Mus musculus: one gene and its partner. The protein of the gene in region 2 purifies or fractionates together with the protein of the main gene of each other region. This does not show direct contact. Links are inferred from orthologs where the notes say so. Each region holds a gene or a part of one and is shown on either strand. Other genes may lie near its edges.

What was found.
Region 1: the proteins of Bsg (region 2) and Atp2b4 purify together in Homo sapiens (affinity purification with mass spectrometry; 3 studies listed by BioGRID and IntAct, counting the BioPlex papers as one, with this or other methods). This does not show direct contact. The link is inferred for Mus musculus from reciprocal best matches to the Homo sapiens genes BSG and ATP2B4.

Annotation. Positions count from the first base shown.
Region 1 is NC_000067.6:133,729,689-133,733,508, forward strand, and holds part of Atp2b4 (plasma membrane calcium-transporting ATPase 4), read right to left. Parts: intron 2,753-3,820; coding exon 2,538-2,752; intron 2,218-2,537; coding exon 1,975-2,217; intron 923-1,974; coding exon 681-922; intron 261-680; coding exon 29-260; intron 1-28. UniProt on the Homo sapiens protein: Calcium/calmodulin-regulated and magnesium-dependent enzyme that catalyzes the hydrolysis of ATP coupled with the transport of calcium out of the cell. By regulating sperm cell calcium homeostasis, may play a role in sperm motility.
Region 2 is NC_000076.6:79,709,757-79,712,637, reverse strand, and holds the end of Bsg (basigin isoform 1 precursor), read right to left. Parts: coding exon 2,811-2,881; intron 2,581-2,810; coding exon 2,498-2,580; intron 2,379-2,497; coding exon 2,236-2,378; intron 2,001-2,235; coding exon 1,718-2,000; intron 1,383-1,717; coding exon 1,358-1,382; intron 1,145-1,357; coding exon 1,081-1,144; 3' UTR 659-1,080; downstream 1-658.

The DNA of each region.
Region 1 (3,820 bases), on a different chromosome or scaffold from region 2:
TTCACTTCAAAAAACGGGCAGGCCTTACCTCCGGGCGCACAGGATCCTCAATGCCCACCACTGCAATGCAGATCAGCGAAGTGAGGATTTCACCCTCAATGTCCCACGAGGGCTCTGTGCCATCAAAATCTCGGTAAGCTAAGCAGATAGTCCGGAGCCCTTCACTGGCCATGGGCTCAATGACATTGCGTACCATATTATCTCGGTCCTTACTTCTGAACGATTTGATTTCTCCTTCCTTGTTCAGGATTCGATCACACCTGGGGAGAGAGGCACATGGTTATCGTATGCTCACCAGCTCCTTTGAGCATGGTGGCATGGGGCATATCCTGACTACCTCTGTGAACTCACTAGGAAATGGGAGAGTCAGGCTGGTCCAGGCTGAATCCTGACTGTGGCACTGTTAGCTGCTCTCTCTCTGAGAACATTGTGCAAGTTCACTGTGTTTATTTCCCATCTGTAAAACGGGTCAAAATGGGTCACCACCTTGCCGAGGTGTGAGGGTTTATTAAAGGAGTCAGCAAAGTTCCTAAAAGCAATGATTGTCCTGAGTAAAAGCTCAGATGTCACTACCGGGCTGCAGGGTCACTCATCCTTCAGCCTGCTTTGGCATCGTCCCTCAGACATTCTTGGGAGGGGATGGGGATCTCAAAGGGGAAAACGGGAGGAAGGGGGCTCACCTGCGCAGCATTATCTCAGAGGCGCCCTTGCTGAACATGCGGAAGCCCCCTTCCGGCTTCCTGATGACAGTGCTCATGGACTTGCGCACTGAGTTGAAGGTGTACACCTTAAAGAGCTTCTCCTCAGGCACCTCATTGCGAACTGCTTGGTAGTCCTGCTTCAGGTCTGTGACAAAGCCCAGCAGCCCACACTCTGTCTTGTTGCCTACTTGTCGGGGTAGGCCTCCCTCCTTTTCTGGAGGCTAAGAGAGAAAAGAAAAACAGAAACAAAAACAGACATAGAATTAATGGGTGAGAGCTCTGGACCAGAGAGAAGACTTGGGCAGGTCAACTCGGTAGGTATACCAGTGCCCACAGGGGAGGCACCATTTGCTGTTCTTTCAAAGGTGACATTGTCTCACAGTCAAACAGGTCTTGGGACCTTACAGCTACTCTATGGTAATGAGGTGTCTCATGTCCTGGAAGTCATATTCTAAAGAATTCCCTGGTTCTGGGAAATGAATAATTAAATCTGGGTAAGTGCAACTCTGCTGTAGACACTGCCATATGTTTACCCCGAACATGTTCAGTCAGGAACAGGAAACAGAATGCAGGATGGCAGCTCAGACGATGAATGATAGAGGGTATGGTGGGTTGAGCCTGCATGGCCCCCACACGCTCATATATTTGAATACTAGGTCCTCAGTTGGCAGAACTGTTTGGGAAGGATTGGGGGTAAGCCCTAGTTGGAGTAGGTATGTCAATGGGTGTTGGGGGGTCTTTGAGGTCTCAAACACACTCATGTCCTCCCCAGTGTGCTCTCTGCCTCTTGCTTGTGGATGGAGCTGTGAGCCCTCAGCAACTGCTCCAGCGCTATGCTTGCCTGCCTGCTGCCACGTTTCCCGTCATGATAGTCATTGAGTTCTAACCCTCGGAAACTGTAAGCCCTCCACTAAACACCTTCTTCTTTTTTTTTTTTTTTTTTAAAGATTTATTTATTGATTATATGTAAGTACACTGTAGCTGTCTTCAGACACTCCAGAAGAGGGAGTCAGATCTCGTAAGGGATGGTTGTGAGCCACCATGTGGTTGCTGGGATTTGAACTCTGGACCTTCGGAAGAGCAGCCGGGTGCTCTTACCCACTGAGCCATCTCGCCAGCCCCTAAACACCTTCTTCTATAAGTTGCTTTGGTCATGGTGTACGAGCACAGCCATAGAAAAGTAAGTGGAACAGAAGATTTGTTTCTGGCAGAGTTGAGTATTGCTTCTCCGTCACCCATGCTGGGCACCCAGGCGATGGATGGCAAAGCTTACCTGAATCTTAGACGTGTAAGCACAGTTGATAGAGATGCCATTGACGATGAGCTCCAGAACCTTGGGTGGGAAGACGTCGGGCTGTGGGATCTGGCGGTAGTGAGTGCCCCCGATGTAAGCTTGCACCACGGTCATGCGGTTCATGGTCAGTGTGCCTGTCTTATCGGAGCAAATGGCTGTGGCATTGCCCATTGTCTCACAAGCATCCAAGTGCCGTACCAAGTTGTTGTCCTTCATCATTTTCTACCAAAGGAAAGAGAAAGGAGTTGAAAGAGGACCAACGGGGTTCCCACAGGCGCAGGCCGAAGGCTAAGTCCTAGTCCACATTTTTTCACTTGAGTTCTAGTCCTGCACAAAGATGCACTGCACCATTACTTGAAGATTTGACTCAGCTATTTAAACAACCAACGGAAATGGCTATTTTTCCAGAGCTAAGGATTTCTGTTCATGGGGGACTCTCTAAAGTGTCTAAAGGGCAGAAGAGTTTATCCTTCAGTCGAACGGTATAAGGTCCCCTCCCTTTCCGTCTCTGTCCCGAAGGAGCAGCATTTTTCCAGGCTTACCTTTACAGAGTAGGCTAGTGAGATGGTGACAGCCAGTGGCAGCCCCTCTGGCACAGCCACTACCAATACAGTGACTCCGATGATGAAGAACTTGACAAAATACTGGATATAGACAGGAGTGCACTCAGGAAGCCATTCTCGGCGCTGGATCACGAAATTGTCAACCACAAAGTACAGAATCAAGATGACAACTGTGAGGACAGACATGATCAGACCTGTCCAGGGCAACAAGACACACAGACAGGGGTCAGCTTGCTCTGCTCTTTCTAGAATTTTTAAAGCTATAAGCTTTATATTAAAATCTTCTCCCCATTCTGTTGCTTGCATACAATGACATTAGAGGGTTTTTTTGTTTGTTTGTTTTGTTTTTTAAAAAACAAAGTCTTTAATCACAGTGGTTCCAAAGATATCAAAGATACAGATTTTATTCTTAGCCCATCACCAACCTGACTCATATCCTTGTGTTAGTTGTTAAACCTCTATGGGTTGAGTTGCTAATTTAACTTCAGTCATAAATAAGAGGGCTTGCTGGGTTATGGTGGCATAAATCTGTAATTTCAGCACGTAAGAGACGAGGCAGGATGATCATAAGTTCAGCCCAGCTTAATTTACCCCTCCATCCCCCAAACCCCTAAAACCCGACCAAATAAAACAAACAAACAAAAAAGAGAGTAGAGTACGCTAGGAACGCCCGCTTCCTCCTAAAAGATGATCCTTACTTTTAAATGGCTGCATTCCACAAGGCGAAGAGATCAGGTTGCACCTCCACTCAGAGAACTAGGCCCACCCCACCGCCCACAGAGAACTAAGAAGCAGGCCACAGAGACTTGAGCGCTCTGTATCATGCGTGCTACATTGAACGTTAAATCCCTCAGTGTGAAGCTTCCTGACATAGTCGTCCCGTCCCCCCCATTTTTAATTTTTTCCTTTGTTCTTGAGATTTGTTCAGAGATTGGGCCTGATGCTCCTTCTCTTACTGAGTCATGGCCTTGAGGCCCTTTCTTCTAATAAACTGCAACGTCTGAAGGGGACTGTGTGTCAGCTACAGCCACACACGGACTGGCGGCCGCTGCTTGCTTCTGTTCCGTTAACAAGGTGGCCTACATTTTATGATTGCATTCCAGAATTTACCGAGCAGCAACTGCGTCTGCCCACTTAGTAGCTTACGGCTTTGACTTTCCCTCTTGAAAGTTCCACACGCTAGTTCCAGTGTGTCCCCACAGTGCTAGCACGTGTCACCTACATGATTTCTCCTATCATAGCATGGCATAAAAAGGTCTCGG
Region 2 (2,881 bases):
CAGTGGACTAAAGTGCAGCGCCCTCTAGTGGCTGGAAGGCCAGGGAGGTGTCTGAGGAATTTTTCCTTGGCCTGAAGCGGAGGGCCTGTTTTACCTCAGGGAGTCTTCAGAAAGGTCTGCTATCGCCCCGCCTCCCCCCCCCCCCCCCCCCCCGACTTCTCTCCCTTAACCACCACCACTCTGGGATGTACTCTGCTGGGATCAAAGCTGTCTCTCTGGAGTCAGACTATACCACCACATACACCTGTCCTGACCCCTGCCCAAAATTTAAGAGTTAAAACCAGCCAGCAAGTCCCTTGACTGCCCATTTCCCACTGGTGCCCACCAGCCAGATCAGTACTAGGCTTGTACAGGACATCAGTGGTGGTCAGCAGTGTTCTTATGAAGACAGCTTTTCTTGGACACCCATGAGGACTAAGGCTGTACCTGCAGGTTCAACTTCTAAGGACCCCTAGGGGGTGCTGTTGAAGAACCTTTTCAAAGGGGTCACACCAGATATCCTATATTAAAGGTTCAGAACATTAGGAAGGTTGAGAACCACTGGTCTAGGGACCATGCACTTACCTGTGCCCCAGGCCGTGCTGATCAACAACCCCTCCTGTATATGACCTCAACACTCATTCTCCCTTTAAGATGGGGTCCTGAAGTTTCAAGTAGTGACACACACATGGTGGGGTAGGTCTTTATTTGGGGGGGTTCCAGCAGGCCCAGCCCCCTCCAACAGTAAGTCAGAGCATGCACTGGCCTTCCCTCCTGACCAAGGACAAGGCCCCATTCCCCCACTCCACAGGGCTGTAGTGACAACACTTCAGAAGGGAAGGAAAAATAAAAACATAAACCCCTAAGGAATGGATTGTCTGCATAGAAACCTCATTTAGTTTAAATTAGAAACAGGGGCTGCAAGTGGCTTGCTTCTTCCAGGTGGGTTTTCTGTAAGGTAAGGCTCTGTCTTCACTTGGGTTGGGATAGGTTGGGTTGGGTAGGTTCAAATCGGGACAGGATGGGATACTGGAGTGGAGGTAGACGCTGGCCTGGGGTCAGGCACCCTGGGCACCTCCCCTCCCCCGCCTGCCCCACCACTCAGGTGGCGTTCCTCTGGCGTACATTCTTGTCCTTGTCATTCATGTGAGTTCCACTGCCCTTCCTGGGGATACAAAACAGGGCTCATTACTCTTAACAGGCACAGGGCTGGCCTCAACCCCACTGAAATCTGGCCATTATTTCAACAGCAGCCATCCACCTTCCCTGAACTTACTGAGGCCTATGAAAGATGGACACACACATTGAGTCCCAGAGCATCCCCCATTTCTATAGGACACACAGCTAGCTCCCCAGAGCCCACAGTGGCTGGACTTACAGTGGGGCGGCGCCAGGGTCATCCTCTGCAGCCAGGAGCAGCCACATGAAAGAGAAAGGACATGTGTCAGGGCTCGTGTGAACTTGGCCCCACACTGCCACCCTCATGGTGCTGCAGAAGTGTCGTACATCAGATGATCAACACATGGTGAGGCCAACACATCCTACCCCAGCTCGCCATGCAGTGTACAGCTAGAGGCACCCACAGCCCCAAGTCCTCACAGCGAGCTCCCCAGAGGACAGCAGCTTGTGGCCAAGTGATGGAGGAAGGAGGAGGGTGAGCTACAAGCAGACCCCACTCTCCTCCAGGTGGACACACTGAGGGCATCCCACCCACTCACCCAGACCCAGGACTGCTCACCGTCCAGGGTCTGGTCTGGCTTCCGCCTCTTCTCATAGATAAAGATGATGGTAACCAACACCAGGACCTCAGCCACGATGCCTAGGAAGGGCCAGAGGGCTGCCATGCGGCTCCGCACACGCAGTGAGATGGTTTCCCGAGTAGTGCCCTGGGCGTTGGTGGCATTACACACGTAGGTGCCAGGGTCAACATTTACGTCAAGGTTGCTGATGGTCAGCTGTGACTTCTCAGGCGTGGATACCACCACATACTTGCCATTGGCTTCAGTGCTATTGGTGATTGCCTAGGGAGAAGGGCTTGTCATGTCATGCTAGAGTCTGTCCTACACTGTCCCAGATCCCCACACCAAAGCGTCCTCTCCTGTGTCCCCTCTGATGCTCTTATCCCCACTCCCATTCCTAGCACCCGGTGCCCCTTCTGCCGCCTCCCCTACCCCCATGTCCAGAACCTCATGCTCCCACTGCAGCCTGGTCCTTGGCACCACTCAAGCTCCATGTCCTTAGCCTCACAGCCCTTACCTCTTCTTCCCCAGTGTCAGAGGTCTTAAACCAGAACCAATCTGTAATAGGAGGGTAGGATGCATCGGACTTGCAGACCAGTTTCGCAAGCTCTCCCTCACTGGAATGCTCTGATTTCTTTCCGACCTTGATCCTGGGTGGCCCTGTGAGGATGAGAACCCTGATGCCCAAGCACGTTGTAGACTGCTCTCAGCCCCAACACCAGTCCCTGGCCTTCACGCCAGCCACCTCCTGGCCCGCCCCCACCACTCCCACAGATTACCTTCCACATTGATCTCGCTTCTGCCCACAGGCTCAGGAAGGAAGATGCAGGAATATTCCCCAGAGCGGTCATCTGCGTCCACTCTGCAGGGGACAGAGCCTCGGTGAGGTAAGGAACTCCCAAGGCATGGTGGCCACCTCCCCACCAGGGCTCTCTGTGCAGATCATAGGGCCTTGGGCTCTCTCACGCTATACAGGTAAGGCCACCCAGCCAATCCAGAGCTGTGTGGAGCCTGGCACTGCTACACGTCAGGATGGAGGCAGGTCCCCATGGACAGCATCAGGACAGGGTCCTTTGAGCACTGTGGACTCACATGTACTTCGTATGCAGGTCGGGCAGAGTGTCCTCCTGCAGTACCTTGCCACCTCTCATCCAGCGGTGGCC